4 linked regions of the Caenorhabditis elegans genome follow. The protein of the gene in region 1 purifies or fractionates together with the protein of each later gene. This does not show direct contact. Each region holds a gene or a part of one and is shown in the gene's direction. Other genes may lie near its edges. The genes, in order: ddx-15, snr-7, rsp-3 and sap-140.

What was found.
Region 2: the proteins of ddx-15 (region 1) and snr-7 fractionate together in Caenorhabditis elegans (co-fractionation; one large-scale study listed by BioGRID). This does not show direct contact.
Region 3: the proteins of ddx-15 (region 1) and rsp-3 fractionate together in Caenorhabditis elegans (co-fractionation; one large-scale study listed by BioGRID). This does not show direct contact.
Region 4: the proteins of ddx-15 (region 1) and sap-140 fractionate together in Caenorhabditis elegans (co-fractionation; one large-scale study listed by BioGRID). This does not show direct contact.

What each region holds. Positions count from the first base shown.
Region 1 is NC_003281.10:5,588,507-5,593,615, reverse strand, and holds ddx-15 (Pre-mRNA-splicing factor ATP-dependent RNA helicase ddx-15), read left to right. Parts: upstream 1-1,897; 5' UTR 1,898-1,909; coding exon 1,910-1,965; intron 1,966-2,020; coding exon 2,021-2,117; intron 2,118-2,164; coding exon 2,165-3,752; intron 3,753-3,804; coding exon 3,805-4,165; intron 4,166-4,206; coding exon of another isoform or gene 4,207-4,207; exon of another isoform or gene 4,208-4,219; coding exon 4,220-4,337; 3' UTR 4,338-4,554; downstream 4,555-5,109. Other genes in the region: ucr-1 (Cytochrome b-c1 complex subunit 1, mitochondrial), read right to left, coding at 1-6, 59-176, 228-285, 335-577, 622-821, 871-1,087, 1,137-1,262, 1,405-1,458; F56D2.2 (RBR-type E3 ubiquitin transferase), read right to left, coding at 4,555-4,758, 4,807-5,109. UniProt on the Caenorhabditis elegans protein: Pre-mRNA processing factor involved in disassembly of spliceosomes after the release of mature mRNA.
Region 2 is NC_003279.8:2,725,434-2,727,939, forward strand, and holds snr-7 (putative small nuclear ribonucleoprotein G), read left to right. Parts: upstream 1-1,580; 5' UTR 1,581-1,584; coding exon 1,585-1,713; intron 1,714-1,766; coding exon 1,767-1,871; 3' UTR 1,872-1,949; downstream 1,950-2,506. Other genes in the region: Y71F9B.6 (Cyclin N-terminal domain-containing protein), read right to left, coding at 325-474, 553-637, 706-833, 885-1,042, 1,096-1,218. UniProt on the Caenorhabditis elegans protein: Plays a role in pre-mRNA splicing as a core component of the spliceosomal U1, U2, U4 and U5 small nuclear ribonucleoproteins (snRNPs), the building blocks of the spliceosome.
Region 3 is NC_003281.10:12,686,201-12,689,517, reverse strand, and holds rsp-3 (putative splicing factor, arginine/serine-rich 3), read left to right. Parts: upstream 1-1,601; 5' UTR 1,602-1,611; coding exon 1,612-1,781; intron 1,782-1,828; coding exon 1,829-2,216; intron 2,217-2,282; coding exon 2,283-2,501; 3' UTR 2,502-2,817; downstream 2,818-3,317. Other genes in the region: spin-4 (Major facilitator superfamily (MFS) profile domain-containing protein), read right to left, coding at 749-889, 942-1,096, 1,152-1,191. UniProt on the Caenorhabditis elegans protein: Plays an essential role in embryogenesis.
Region 4 is NC_003281.10:7,498,038-7,503,780, forward strand, and holds sap-140 (U2 snRNP-associated SURP motif-containing protein), read left to right. Parts: upstream 1-1,639; 5' UTR 1,640-1,724; coding exon 1,725-1,757; intron 1,758-1,819; coding exon 1,820-1,952; intron 1,953-1,994; coding exon 1,995-2,107; intron 2,108-2,216; coding exon 2,217-2,389; intron 2,390-2,439; coding exon 2,440-3,732; intron 3,733-3,918; coding exon 3,919-4,399; intron 4,400-4,517; coding exon 4,518-4,948; intron 4,949-4,993; coding exon 4,994-5,138; 3' UTR 5,139-5,204; downstream 5,205-5,743. Other genes in the region: C07H6.9 (Serpentine Receptor, class Z), read right to left, coding at 796-1,008, 1,051-1,193, 1,238-1,328, 1,372-1,410.

The sequences.
Region 1 (5,109 bases):
GTGTCTCTGAAAAAAAGAAAATAAAAATTTAAATAAGCTTGCAAAAAAAGATACTTACTTGTAGTTGATGTTGAAATGCTGGAGGTTATGGACTCCGTGGTCGTGTCCGATTTTTTGGACAAGTCTGGAAGCAGCTGTTCTGGATGTAGCGTGGGTCACATCCCATTGGCCTAAAACTCATCAAAATTACGGTTTGAATTGAAAAATTCACACAAAAGCCAACTTACCAATGAATTGATTGGCAATTTGAAGAGCGAGAGCATCTTTGTGGGCATATCCAACACCCTAAAAATGAAGTAAAATGAAAGACTGAACACACATTTATTATTTGTACCTCAACAGCGAAAGCAGCATACATGTGTGGGACATTATCGTTGCGGTATCTGTATTCAGATCCGGTGAATCGTGTTCCATCGACCTGTGGAACCTTTCGTGGGTATTCGTTGCTCAAGTCTCCGAAATATTTATCGGCGAGGCTTGAAACATTGGAAACTCCTCCTCCGACAGCGGACAGAACCATGCGCACTGGTCTGTAATGATCCTCTTGCCACTCCTTCAATTGTTGAGCAGAGATATTCTGAAAAAATAATCAACTTTATGTAAACCCAAATAAATACTTACTGGAATGCTCTCACTGGTTCCGAGAACGCTGAGAGCGAGTGGGGTGCCTTGGAATCCGGCAGCGTGGAGCATATCGAAGAGGACAAGCTGATGATAGTCATCGGAAGCTTCGAGCTCTTTGAGAAGATTAACTCTTTCGGTATCGATGGTTGAGGCCTCAAGCTTGCTGTTGCGGAGAACATCGGCGAGGATATCGACAACTGAAAATTTTGGAAAATTAACACAATTTTATAAGTTACAAATATTTACCTTTCTCAACATCTTGAGCTCCAGCTTGGACAAAAACTGCGGTTTGGTCACGCTCAGTGAACGAGTTGAGTTTTGCTCCGATAGCATTAAGCTCGGATTCGAGAGCAGCAGATGCTCTCTTTCCAGTTCCCTTGTGGATCAATCGCTCGAGGAAATGTGCGACACCGTTGTTCTTCTCGTTCTCAAAACGAGATCCGGTCTCGATCCAGACTCCCACCTACAATTTAAAACAAAAGAAATTTTAGAAAACTAGTGGGCAAAATTACGGTAGCGGTGGCGGATCCATTATCTTCGGTGACAACACGGAAGCCATTCTTCAAGGTGGTAACTTCAGCTTGTGGAGCGCTGGCAAGCACGTCCTTCACGGAGACAGCTGATGAAGCATTGCGAACCTGAAAATTAATTAATTTAATTAGATTTTCTACATTATCATCGTTGTTACGTTCTCCATGCGACCTGTGGGCATACAACTTTCAATTTTATTTTCAATTAAGAGTTTTTATTTCTCTTTTAGCAATCTCACAAGAAAATTACCTGGCTATTGAGAGCCGGACGCAAAGCAGAGCTGACGGCGAGTCTGAGAGCCATTCTCTCAAGTTTTCCCCTGTTCTCTGAAAATAAAAATATATAAATAGGATATTAATCGATAGATAAAAATTCAGAGAACATTATTTTAAATTGAAAAACTTGAAAAAATATATCTGAAACTCGAAAAGAAGCTGAAAACAACTAAAACCATCAAGCCGCCCAGCAGTGCAGAGACGCAGACAGCGGAATCGCTTCGAGACCCACCGAAAGTTTAAAGGCGCACCCGTAAATCGCTCCATACTTATTCCGAATATATTCTGCGAAATTCTGTCTTTTGTTCCCAATATCTCTATATTTGCTGATTTTCTCCTTTTTCAACTAGTTTTCTTAATTTGTCATACATTTAATCCATTTATCCTGCGCGTAGCTTTTCGAAATACCTAATATTTTCGTATAACGCTTTATAAAGCCACTTGAAACTCTAATTTTCCTATTGAAGGAGAAACTTGCGATGTCTTCGAGACACCGATTGGATTTAGATGGCAGCGGACGCGGAGACAGAAGAAGGTAAGTAAAATTGTTGCTTCCCCAGTTCAATATAATAATAATAATTTATTTTCAGATCTCCTAACCGCAGATCCCGATCCCGCTCCCGATCGCCACACAGACGCTCCTCCCCCGACCGGAAAAGACAGATTGGGGCAGTTGGAAATATGAAGGTATTTTTTAGTAAACGAATTTTTGTTTCTCATCTCCAAATTTACAGATCCAAATCAATCCATACAACAACCAGCCATTTAGTAACCGATATTGGGCAATTTGGGAGAAAAGAAGTCAATTGCCAGTATGGGAATATAAGGAAAAGTTTATGGAGCTGCTCCGGAACAACCAGTGCATCACTCTTGTCGGAGAAACGGGATCCGGAAAGACCACGCAAATCCCACAGTGGGCCGTCGAGTTCATGAAGCAGCAGCAACAAGGACAACCACCCGGTCAAGCGAGATTGGTGGCTTGCACACAGCCTAGACGGGTCGCTGCGATGAGCGTTGCGACAAGAGTTGCTGAGGAAATGGACGTAGTTTTGGGACAAGAAGTGGGATACAGTATTCGTTTCGAAGACTGCATCAGCGAACGAACTGTTCTCAAATACTGTACAGACGGTATGTTGCTGCGAGAAGCAATGAACAGCCCGCTCCTCGATAAGTACAAAGTCCTTATTCTCGACGAGGCTCACGAAAGAACACTCGCCACAGATATTCTTATGGGACTGATCAAGGAAATCGTGAGAAATCGAGCTGATATCAAGGTCGTAATCATGTCCGCTACATTGGATGCAGGAAAGTTTCAAAGATATTTCGAGGATTGCCCGTTGCTCAGTGTTCCCGGAAGAACATTCCCTGTTGAGATCTTCTTCACTCCAAATGCGGAGAAAGATTATCTAGAAGCCGCGATCAGAACTGTAATCCAAATTCATATGGTCGAGGAGGTTGAAGGTGACATTTTACTGTTCCTCACTGGTCAAGAAGAGATCGAAGAAGCTTGCAAAAGAATAGATCGTGAGATTCAAGCCTTGGGAGCAGATGCTGGAGCACTCAGCTGCATTCCGTTGTACTCTACACTTCCCCCAGCAGCACAGCAGAGAATCTTCGAACCAGCACCACCAAATCGACCGAATGGAGCAATCAGCAGAAAGTGTGTCATCTCTACAAATATCGCTGAGACATCATTGACTATTGATGGCGTTGTCTTTGTTATCGATCCTGGATTCTCGAAGCAAAAAGTGTACAATCCAAGAATTCGTGTCGAGTCGCTGCTTGTTTGTCCCATTTCGAAAGCTTCTGCTATGCAAAGAGCTGGACGCGCCGGAAGAACAAAGCCAGGAAAATGTTTCCGGCTTTACACCGAAACGGCTTACGGATCAGAAATGCAAGATCAAACATATCCTGAAATTCTTCGGTCGAATCTCGGATCTGTTGTGCTGCAGCTCAAGAAGCTCGGAACCGAAGATCTTGTGCACTTCGATTTCATGGATCCTCCCGCACCAGAGACATTGATGAGAGCGCTGGAACTGTTAAACTATCTTCAGGCGATCAACGACGATGGAGAGCTCACTGAACTAGGAAGTCTGATGGCTGAGTTCCCGCTTGATCCTCAGCTCGCAAAGATGCTTATCACATCCACTGAACTCAATTGCTCAAATGAAATTTTGTCGATCACAGCAATGCTCTCGGTTCCGCAGTGCTGGGTTCGTCCCAATGAAATGAGAACAGAAGCCGATGAGGCGAAGGCTCGGTTTGCACATATTGATGGAGATCATCTCACACTTCTCAATGTCTATCATTCGTTCAAGCAGAGTAAGTTGACTTTGTTTTTCTTTTTTTCAAATATTAGTTTCGCATATTTCAGATCAAGAAGATCCGCAGTGGTGTTACGATAACTTCATCAACTACAGAACTATGAAAACTGCCGACACAGTCCGCACACAATTGTCGCGTGTTATGGACAAGTACAATCTTCGACGTGTCTCAACAGACTTCAAATCTCGAGACTATTATCTCAACATCAGGAAAGCTCTTGTAGCTGGATTTTTCATGCAAGTCGCTCATCTGGAACGAAGTGGACACTACGTGACGGTGAAAGATAATCAGCTCGTCAACCTTCATCCATCCACAGTTCTCGATCATAAGCCGGAGTGGGCACTCTACAATGAGTTCGTGTTAACCACAAAGAACTTCATCAGAACTGTAACTGATGTGCGCCCTGAATGGTGAGTTAATTTGCAAATTATATTATTCAAAACCTAACTAGATATGCGTTTCAGGCTACTTCAAATCGCCCCTCAATACTATGATCTCGACAACTTCCCAGATGGAGACACGAAACGGAAGCTGACTACTGTGATGCAGACCCTGCAGAGAAACGCTGGCAGAGGCTATTGATGCCTCCGAATCATCTGATCTCATTTCCCCAAACCTCTTTTATCCCTATTGCCCCTTGTCAAATTTTTTGATTGTTTCTATTTATTTTTTGTTTATTTCTTACCCCTTTCTTTTAATTCTATTTTCACTTTTAAATCAATCACCAAATCTAAAAGGATGAACTATTCATTTTATTTGACAATTAATCCGTAAATTTAGAGAAAACCGTAAAGTTATGTTAATTAAAGAAAAGCTCGTCAAAATGTCCTTCTTGCTCTAACCAATCCTCCGCATCAATATCTTCGTCGGATTCAGGATACTCGACGGTCTCATCACTGTCATAGTCACTACCGTCGTTAAATGCCATATCGAAAAGAAGATCGTCATCGTTATCTAGCAAATCGTGATGAACTCCTTCGAACAGACGTCCAGAGCATGATCCCTGAAAATGAAAAATACATTTCTTACACAATTCTAAGAAAAAACCAACATCTCCCTGAAAATGCTTATAAGGATCTTCCTTGTCAAGAGTTTCAGAGCACAACCAACAGAAGTAGGTGTCACACTTCGTACAGTGCATCTTGTGGCATCCTTCATTCTTCTCTATGCTCACCGAGCACTTGGGACACGGTTTGCTGTTCGAATCCAGCCATTCCTCATTGAGGAACCGCTCCACAAGCTCCTCGACACGCTTCTCTCCTCCAAATTGCCTGCACATTTCAGCCTTCTCAGCTTCATCTCCATCCTTCCATCTTTTGACAAGAAGCTCTTTGTCTCCTTTCTTCCATTTGCA
Region 2 (2,506 bases), on another chromosome or scaffold:
GAATTTATCGTATTTTTTCAAGATTTTGACCTAAAGGCGCACGGATTTTTAGCAAATTGCAGCGTTTTTTCTTACTTTCTGCTGAAAATTTGCGTTGTTTTCCTTTTTTTCGGTCTGAAAACTGAAAAATTTAACAAAAAAAACTACCACATGCTGTCTTTTCGCGTCGATGCACAGCTGAATAAACCCATGTGCCTTTAAGATCGCATAGCCGAAATTTCTGAATTCCTGCGCTTTTTTTGTGAAATTTTGTTAGATAATTGCCAGTTTTCGGGGAAAATTAGGTAGAAGATATAAATTATAGAGGAGATGTTAATTCTAAACCTTCCAAAAATCGATTTCGATCGGAATTTCTTCTTATTGACGGTTGTGTTGGCGAAAATCGGCGCCAGCGGATCCACGTAGTCGCTGTTCGGCGAGATATACGAGAAAACTGCCAGAGGCTGGCCATTCGTCGAGGTGCAGATGTAAAATCTGAAAATGTGGGTTAGTTCGCAACACGGAACGGTTAGTGTGGGGGATTTTAGAGGATTTTATGATGGTTGAACTCACCTATCTGCATGGGTAATGGTGCTTTTGAGCCTTCTCAGAAAACTGAACTGATTTGAAGAACAAGATGGTGATTCTGAGCGAAATTCTGTGAAAATTTTGAATTAATTTATTTTATTTCAAGTTTTGTAAGCTTTTATAAGCTCGCCAGCTCACCAATCAGCCCACTATCTTCTCTCCCGACGCCTTCTTCAAGAATCGGAGATCTACTGTTTGTGGCGGTCATTGAATAGATCACGTCGTCGGAGCTCATGATTTTCGCGATTCTTCGGAAGATTGAAGTTCTATAAATAGAGAAAATTAATTAATTATATTGATTTTCAACTAATTTTCACTTTTTCTGTGGTGTCTCCGCGTATTCCTGCGGCAAATTCGACGAGCTTAGCCGTTCTCCGAGTGAAGCGGATGTTCCGAGTGAGATCACTGATTCATTGTTGCGGATGGTGGTTGTGGAGCTTGCGCCGTTTGAAAACTTCTTTTCCGTTGGAGATATCTGAAAAAATTATCAATTAGTTACGAAAATCGCTGAAAAACCAAGATTCTCACCTTCGGAAGGCCTTTTGTTTGGAAAATTCGAAGATTTGTGTCATTGTGGCTTCCATCAACACTGATATTTGATAAGAAATTTTGTGCGACGAGAATATGATAGTTACTCTTCTTTTTTACCATCTAAAATTGGAAAAACGAAAAGAAAAAGCTCGGAAATCCGATAAGAATTGTGTGAGTACGGTGTGCAAGCGTCTGCAACTTGTCGTCATTTATGGTGTACCAAGCGTGGTGTTTGCGTACTATTCGAATTTCGAAAAATAATTTCGTCGATTTTAGCCTTTTTCATCCAATTTTCCTGATAATTATCATGTTTATTCTTTGAAAAATTAGTTAAAAAATGTTATAATTAATGTATTATCTGAATTTTCGATAGGTGGAAGTTGAAAAATGAGCTTTATTTTCTATTTTAAGTAAAATCTGTTTCTTTGATGATTTTTCCATTCTTCATTTTCATTTCCCCCTGCAAATTCTCAATTTTTCAGAAAAATGAGTAAGACACATCCACCAGAGCTCAAAAAGTACATGGACAAGGAGATGGACTTGAAGCTCAACGGAAACCGTCGCGTCTCTGGAATCCTCCGCGGTTTCGATCCATTCATGAACATGGTCATCGACGTATGTTTCTTTTTCCGTTTTTGTCTAATTTATTCTAAAATTTAATATTGCAGGAAGCTGTCGAGTACCAAAAGGACGGAGGATCCGTCAACCTCGGCATGACTGTCATTCGCGGAAACTCCGTCGTCATCATGGAGCCCAAGGAGAGAATCTCCTAGATTTTTCGATCTCCACAATTTCCTGTCACTTTCTCAATGTTTTCATTTTCAAATTTTGATATTAAATTTTTGAACCTTTTTTTTGATAATTTTTGATAACTACGTGGTCAAAACCCACTTCTCATCTCTGATTCACGTGAATTTCGTATAGATAAGAACTTCGCAAATAGAATCAATTCACAAACAAATGTACCAAAAGTTATGTTTTATTATTGCAGGCATAAAAAAAATCAATCGTAAAGCTTTTTTTCAGCATTTTGTTTTTCCACGGCTCAAATTGAACGAAATAGTGTTCATTTTGAAGAGAGGCACGAAACAGAGTAACAAAAACACGGAGAGACTTGTGTATCCCTCTTCTCTTTCCACTATGTGCGGTCGACGACGCTCTCCACATTTTTCTCTCTTTATTCTTCTCGTTACTCTTACTCGGCACAACAGCAGCAAAAAAGAATACTCTTTCCCCACTTCTTATCTCTTTTTCTGCCGACCTATTTTCTTCTTTCAAAACAGAAAAATGTTCCACACACACGCCTATCATCATCCGAAAGCTGTACGAGATGTGCTTTCTCATCTTTCCGTACTCTTGTGGCTGCAGCCGTCGAAGAGTTGAAATATCAATTTTCAAAACGCGGCAG
Region 3 (3,317 bases), 7.1 Mb from region 1:
TTGGATTTTTCAAAAAAATTGAAAAAAAAACTCCATTTTTTCTGATTTTTGGACATTTTCCGCTTTTTTAAGAATATTTTTCACAAAAATCAATTTTTTGGAGAAAAAACGCATTATTCACTTGAGGGATTTTTCAAAAAAATTGCAAAAAAATTTTTTTTTTTTTTTTTAGTTTTTTCTCAGAATTTTGGACATTTTCCGCTTTTTTAAAGAATATTTTTCACAAAAATCCAAATTTGTGTTCTTTTTTTGGTGAAAAATGCATTAATTGCCCCAAAAAACTCAGATTTAAATTTTTTTTCTTCAAAATTTTGAAGCACTTTTTTTTTTGATATTCCAAAAAATATCTTAGAATTTTGGTAATTTTTCCGCTTTTTATAGGAATTTTTTTACAAAAATATTCTTTTTTTTCTCTTTTTATTCGATTTTCGCGGCAAAATATTCAGAATTTGTGTATTTCCAGTGAAAATTTGCCACAAAATAGCATTTTTCGCATGATTTTTGCAAAAATTGCCAAAAAAAGCGTTATAAACGTCATTTTTTATCTTCTCTCTTCTCGGTGTCATTATTCCATTATTGGATTGACCTCTAGAGCCTTCCCATCGGGCTCATTGACCTCCAGACCGCGATTTTCCCGCGTTTTTGGCTCCGCCTTTTGATCTACCACTGGAAGTGGGCTCAGACTGTCTTAGTAATTTATTCCAACATTATTTCCTTTCTATTATCGTTTTTTTCCCTTTTCCCTTACCCCTTCCCCACAAAAAGACGATGCAAAGACTGCTAAAATCCATATGCAAATTCCAGTGATCATTAGCATTTTTCGATTGTATCGATCACCCAAATATCCGAATAATGGCGCGAAAAACATGTAGAACACAATGAAAACTGTCTGAAATTATTCGGTTTTTAATTAATATTCCACAATTTTATTCAATTTTTACTTGCAAAAGGCCTTGCCCCTTATCGTCGATATCGAAAAATGTTGCAAGCCGCGACATAACTCCCACGATTGTGTATCGATCCATGTAGTTTAGCAGGTTTACGAGAAGCAGAATGGAACAAGTAACCCATTTCTTCTTTCCAGCAAGTCGGGAGGCTGAAAAAATCAAGTTTTTCGATTTAAATAATTAAATTTTCGATTAAAAACTCACCAACGTCCAAACCACTGCCTTCCTCAATTTCATTTGGCATTTAGAATTTCTGAAATTTATTATTTTTTCTTATTTTCTAATAAAAAACCGAAAACCACAAAAAATAAAAAAATACGTGACTAAAAATAACGCAGGCGCGCTCCACCGAACTCGTTCAAACTTGGCGGGAGAATGCTCATATGACGCGTTGCGGTCGCGTCGCGGTCGTTATTTTTTCGAAAACGAAGGCCGTGGCACACTCATTTCTTGTTTTTTCAGACAATTTTTATTATTTTTTCGAAGAAATGCTTGAGAATATTCATTTTTCTAAATTTTACTCGATTCTGGGTTTCTTTTCAGTCAAGTAAATGCAGTAATTTGAAGGATTTTAGGCCCAGTATTTTTTTTATTATCAATAATCTTCAGTCGCCGATTTTTTGCAAATAATCATAATTATTTCTTCATTTTCAGTGTACTAAACATGCCACGCGGCGGCTCAGAGGACCAAAAAGTCTACGTTGGCAACCTGCCAGGAGACGTCCGAGAGAAGGAAGTCGAGGACATTTTCCACAAGTATGGCCGCATCAAGTACGTCGATATCAAGTCAGGACGTGGACCGGCGTTCGCTTTCGTCGAGTTCGAAGATCACAGGTTCGTTTATTGATTTCAAATACTTTAATTAATCAATTTTATTCCAGAGATGCCGAGGATGCGGTTCGTGCTCGCGATGGCTACGAATTCGATGGCCGTCGCATTCGCGTCGAGTTCACTCGTGGAGTCGGACCACGTGGCCCAGGCGGTCGCCCACTCCAAGACGGAGGTGATCACCGCGGTGGAGACTTCCGAGGAGGACGTGGTGGTGGTCGTGGAGGTGGACCTCAGAGAAGAACCGGATACCGAGTGATCGTTGAAGGTCTTCCACCAACCGGGTCGTGGCAGGATCTTAAGGATCATATGCGTGATGCTGGAGACGTCTGCTATGCGGATGTGGCTCGAGATGGAACTGGAGTCGTCGAGTTTACTCGTTACGAGGATGTCAAGTACGCTGTTCGCAAGCTTGATGACACCAAGTTCAGATCACATGAGGTGAGTTTTTACTATTTTTGAAACTATAAAATAAATCAAAAATTGAATTAAATTTTTCTTTTTCAGGGTGAAACTGCCTACATTCGCGTTCGTGAGGACAACTCTTCTGGAGGCGGAAGCGGTGGTGGTGGCCGTGATCGTAGCCGTTCGCGCTCTCCAAGAGCCGAACGTCGTGCTTCGCCAAAGTACTCACCTCGTCGTTCTCGTTCCCGCTCTCGCAGCCGTTCCCGCTCTCGTTCTCGCTCGGCCAGTCGCAGTCCATCTCGCTCACCATCTCCACAATAAAGAGACAGCGTCTGATTCTTGAAACGGTATCGTTTTGCAATTTGAGTCGTCTGACAGAGAGTTCTGATACAACTATATCTTGCTAATTTCTTTTTTTTTGTGCTGTTTCTAATACAATTCCATGCCTCATGTTCTCCTGTTTACACACACCTTTTTCTTTTTATCGATCTTTTTGGATATATATATCCACAATTTCTTCTATTTTTTATCACCTATCCTTAATTCAAACAACCACATCCAAGTATTCATCAGCCCCACCTATTATTATTCAATAATTTCTTTTGTTGGAGGAACCACGAATAAAATGTTTTGTTTCAGCCTCCACTCCGCTTCATTCAAACTATTGGAGGAAAGGAGGAGGACTCTATAAGGAGGGAAACTAAAGGATCGCTGGACGATCAAAAGCGGGGACACACCATATCGATCGAGGATCGAATCGGTTTTTACACGATTTTCGAATCGACACACACACACACACACACACACTAGGACCCCCGGAAAAAGGATTTTATGGGAAAAGTTTTGGATTTGCCCCCTGGGTATTGTTAGGAACATAATTTAGTTAAATTTTGACCTGACGAGAGTAAAAAGAAGGAAAAATTTTACAGTTTTGGGTTCGAAAACCCCGAAATCTATTAGGAAAATCCCCTCGAATATGAGAAAAAACTAATCCGCCATGTTCAGGTGAGCCGGTGACCCGCTTCCCGGCTCACAAAAATGAATCAGCCAGGTGAGTTTCGACTTGGAATTTCGAATAAAAATTTTGAATTTTTGACTTGTGTTTTTACTTTTTTAAATTATTATTGAAAACAGAAA
Region 4 (5,743 bases), 1.9 Mb from region 1:
CGGTGTCTGTCTCGCGCTCGTATACACACGATCAATGACGGTTAGAAAAAGCAAGCGAGTGGTCGGCGGCGCATAGAGACGCACAGACACTCTTTGGGTTGCTGGAGTATCTAGCCAACAGGGTAGCCGATGTTTGACGACGTGGCAATTGACAAGAAACAATTTCAAAAGGTCAGAGAATCACGACAATTTTTTATTGATACCTTCCAGTTTTTAAGCGACTCTCCAAACAATAAACGCGAAAAAGTTTATATTTTACATTCGAAAGTTTGAAAGAACACTTTTTGTTATCGTTTTTTAAAACAGGTTTCTGAGCTACGAAACTGATAAAAATCTTCGGAAAACGACTGAATCTATCAAGAAAGTGTCGATAACAGATTGGAGCTGCCATCGTCGCCTAAAACTCTTAGAAATCTAGAGAAGAAACACAGAAACACGTGGAGAACAACGGCCAAAATGAAGGAAATGTGCGAAGAAACGAGAGTGTGGAGAGAAAAACTGTGAGAGCGACGGGACGAGTAGGCCAAGCTGCTGCGAGCGACGAGTGAGAGGCATTTCGCTGCGTACATTCAACACACAAAAGTTGAATACTCAGCCAACGCGCGAAACAAAATGGCGGTAATTCAAAATTAGATTTCAATGAAAAACTTTACGAAGATTTGATGCGAAATTTCTTGAGAATAATAATGAATTAAATATTAAAAAGAATATACCAGCGTCGATGAAAATTTATTAAAGGATAATTAGTTCTAAATGTAATGAGTAATGTGATTACTTTATCGTTTTTCGATTTCCTCATTTTTCTAATTCGAACTCCTCATATTCAACCAGAAATCTGTGATATGCGTCACATCTAGCTCCGTGATGGCAGTATACGATGAATATAAGAAACCGACACGGTTGGATAACACAATTGAAATACGCCAAATCCACAATAGGCAATATTTTCGAGCTGCCAACAAAATAAATTGTTCCGAAACAGGACACATCCACCACCATTTTTATAAACTGAAAATCTTAATTGAAAACAGGAGTCAAAAGAAACGTTACATTTGTGGTAATCGTAATAACATTGAGACGTTGGACTCCATTGTATGATATAAAATATATAACTATCAAAATGCTTGTTAGAAAAAATAACGAAAATTGAATGTAAACAAGTGACAGATACACGAACGACTCTGTCTTCATATCTGCAATTTTAGTTGTTATATTTTTCCACTTTTTATTTTCTTACAGAAATAAGCAGATCCAAGATAAACCGATTGGTACCAAGTTTGTAAAGCTTCTAGGCAAATCATGTTTATAGCAATAGGACTCCAAGATCCCTTAAAATTATTTATAAAGGCAGAAACATTACAGATAACAAACTTGATCGAGATTGAATAACGGCGGAGGAGATAGACTCATAATTCTTATATGCAAATTATTTAAAAATGGTTTGTTATTTTATTTATGAATTATATGATTTGAACGTTAAATGTTAATAATAATATGAAATTGCGTGTAACTCATGAATTGAAATTAATTACGTTATTATTTTGTTCTTTCTTTTTTCAAAAATAAAATGTTTCCTTACTTAAAAGTCGCGCCGAGATCCGAAAACACGCCAAAGTGGTTGCTGGCGCGTTTCATCATAATTGCTGACGCATTGTCAGTGCCTGGTCCATTTACTGGGAAAAATCTAACATTTTAAATTATTTCCCGGGAAATTTCCCCGCAATATGAGTATGGAATGGTCCAAAAAGAGAAAGAAAGTAAGTTTCCTTGTCAACTTCTAAGTGTCACAAGCTTTAATAATACCGATTTAAAAGTTTAGACATCTGACGATGAGGAGGCGAAGTTGAACGATGCTTTGTTGGAGTTCCAAGCAGACTTTGGACAATCTTCGTCTGTTTCTTCTCAGCCTAAAACTTTTCTGAGAGGAAATGTTGTCGAGGGAAATAAGATTTGTAAGAAAATCCATTTGAAAACTATATAAACTGAATTTTCAGCTGCTGGCGACGGTGGAATCTATGCACCAAAGTTTTCAATGAACATTCCGTCTAAAACTTCGAACGTTGGATCCAAAGATTTTGATGAAGCGAAAAAATTAGCAGCCGCGAAGGTAAAATTAATAAATTTCATGCGCTTAGTTCTTCACATTGTTTAAATTGGTAGAGATGTGTTCGTTTCTTAACGGATGTTTTTAGTGAAATAAGAAACACTATATTCAGGCTCGAAGGATGCTGGAAGACGTAGCACGAAGCAAAAAAATGACAGAAGTGCCGAAAGTTGTCGTGCCAACTACGAGGCCGTTTCAAAGACCCCCGAAGCCTGGCAGCTCGAAAGCGAAACAAGATAAGCCAAAGATCAGTCAAATGGAAATGTTTAAAATGGAATTGCAGAGGTATATTGCTAAAAAAGAATTTCGAAAGAATTATATCCGTAAAATTTCAGAGTTCAAGAAGATCGAGAAAAACGGAAAGATTTACGACATCATCTGGAAAAAGTTGGAATGGATCAAGCTGTAGTAGAGAGATTGGCTCCAACAGTTGAAAGAGGATTCCAGGGAACGTCGGAGTTTGACGATGACCCGTATACTACAAATGTATATGTCTCTAATATTCCACATTCAGTAACGGAAGACGATCTATTATTTACATTTGGTTCGTTCGGACCGTTAGCCGCACTGAAAATTTTGTATCCGAGAAGCGAAGAAGAGCGAAGACGGCCGCATATTTGCGCGTTTGTAGCATTTATGTCTCGTGCCGATGTGGATAGATTTATGGCTGAAGTTCGTGTAATCATCGTTCGGAATGAGCCAATTCGTTTCGCTTTTGCTCGTCCTGTCCAGATTCCTGCTATTCCTTACTACATTCCACCCGTACTTCATGCCCTTCAACATCCCGATCCAACTTCAAATTTACCCTTCAATGCACAACCGGATTGTGCTGATGCCAAAAAGTTTCTAGAAAAGTACAATACATTTCCACCGATGCATGCATTGCCAACAAAAGGACAATATGGGTATGAGGATTTCACAGAACTGATACGGAATTCACAAATTAGAGTTGTTGTCCCCCCGGACAGGAAGCTGGTCAGAGTAATGGATCGAATGGCCGTTTACGTTGTAACCGAAGGACCTCAGTTTGAAGCTATGATATGTGCAGAAGAGTTTCAAAATCCAATGTTCCAATTTCTTTGGGATAATACCAGTGCTCTTCACGTTTACTATCGATGGAGAATTTATTCGTTGCTTCAAGGAGACACTATTGAAGAATGGCGGCGCACTCCATTTCGAATGTTCGAAAATGGGTCATGGTGGATTCCACCGTATCCCATCAATGAGTTAAGAGATGCAATGCCAAAAGAACTGTATCATATGAATTGCCTTAGAACCTATCCGGATAAATGGATGAAAGTACGTGACGGAGGTCAACGAAGAGGAGGTGAGAGCTCAAAGAATCGTCGGAACTCGGATGCTGAAAAGGAAGAACGAAAAATGCGCAGGGAAGAGGAAAAAGAACGGAAACGAAGAGAGAAGAATGAGAAAAAGAGGAATAATCGAATGTCTGATAAACGACGTGATAAACTGGAGACATTGATTCGAGAGCTGACCCCTGAGAAGACGTCGATAGCCGCTACGATGGTTTGGTGTATACAAAATGCAAAATATGCAGCTGAGATTTGCGAGTGTGTATATGATAGTCTGACCATTGAGGATATCCCACTTTATAAGAAAATTTCGAGGTAATTGACTTTTCACTTTTAAAAAAGTCTGCAAAAACACACATGTAATTCGTTTAATTCGGGATTATATTTTTTATTTCAAAATTAACTCCAAAAATATGAAGCTAAGATTTTAATTGAGCGTTTATCTGCTCAACTTCAAGTTAACTTCCATAGTTGTGCTGATATAATATTTAATTAATTCAGGCTCTACCTCATCAACGACATTCTATCGAATTGTGTACAACGTAATGTTCGGGACGTTTTTCTCTATCGTTCTCACTTCGAAGCTCTTCTGGAGAAAATTTTCGTTGCTGTCGGGAAAGCATATCGGGCGATACCGTCTCGCATCAAACAAGAGCAATTCAAGCAGCGCGTGATGTGTGTTTTCCGAAATTTTGAGGAAATGGCTGTATATCCTACAGATAAACTGATTCATAATCAAAATGTATTCCTGGGACTCATTGAAATCGGAAAAGAAAAATCGGAAGAACGGGATAACCAAAAACTGGAAGAAGAAGAAGACGAAGAAGACTTAGATGGAGTACCTCTCGAAGAAGAAAAATCAGTTCAAAATATGAACGAGTCTCTTTACGATGATGATGGCATCGACGGTATACCATTACACGAAGAAGTAAAACCATCAACGTCTACTTATTCAACTGCAAGTAAATTCAAACCTGTTGAGGTTAGTTCAAGAATCACACCGTAATTATTGATGACTTTTTACATTAAGTTCCATTTTAGTTTAATTCTAAGAAATGCTACTAATAATTTTTCTGCTGTTACTACTCAATTAATTTCAGTCTCGAAAACGTGATGGCTCCCCTATATTTTCTTCAAAATGGGACCACGACGGCCGAAAGTCGAATGAAGAAGAGGATGAAGACATCGATGGAGTCATGATTACAGACGACACGACTTCAGAGAATCTACAACGAGATAGTCTTTCTCCAGGAGAAATCAAGGACAAAGAATCTTCATTTACCGTGCTCACACCTTCTGATGAAAAACGAAGAAAGTTGATACGAGACGTTGAAGTTCGTGCCATCGCCATGCTGGATGATTTAGAAGCTGACAGAGATCCTGATGCCAAGAGAAAAGTTGACGAGTTTAGAAGGTGTGAAATGGAAAAAGTCGAGAAAGCATTGCGAAGTGGAGAATCTAAAAAGAGTGATGAGAAAAGTGAAAGAAAGAGCGAAAAGAAAGAAAAGAAGCGTGATAAAGAGAGGAAAAGGTATGGAATACTAATTTATCGTGTTATCGTATCTTTTATTTTCAGAAGTCGTTCGCGTTCTCGTGACCGTGACAGAGATAGGAGCCGCCGTGATCGATCAAGGGATCGTTCCAGAGACCGAGATAGAGATCGTGACCGGGACAGACGGGACCGTGACAGAGACCGGGATCGGGATAGACGTTATCGTTGAATTGAATAACTTTCCTTTCATTGTTTTTTACAAAATTATCATTTTTCCACTAAATAATCTTTTCACATGTGTTGGCTGGTTGCATTTAAAAAACAAGATCTAATCTGCAGAGCTTCATTTCCCTTATCTATCTTCTTCTTCAAAAGAAGAAAAAACGGAAAGATTGTTGATGGGCGGTTGGCGGTAGTGATGACATTCATTTTTCTGCACAAAGTTTTTGACGTGTCTTTGAGAAATTGAAAATGAGGAGAAGAAAAGGGGTCGTGAGAGGTGGGTGCCCTCCATACTTTGTGTAATCCCCCGTAACGAATGAATGTTTCTTGAGAAGTTCGCAGTCAGAGAGGAGTTGAGTTTTTTGTCAATTTTCTTCCGTTCCGAGATGATCTCGGATAAGATCTTCGATGTTTTCAGTTTAGATATGATTTCGCTTTTTACATTAGTGCTGATCAACTTCTAAAATACACACATCTTTAGTTGTTTAATTTTCTACATGGTCACTGGAAAATGACCAAAAGTCATTCCCATCATTTCCGGATTTACTCTCTCCAAATCCATTCAACCATTAAATCAACTCTAGTCCACCTGGTTCGGTTTTCCACAAAATT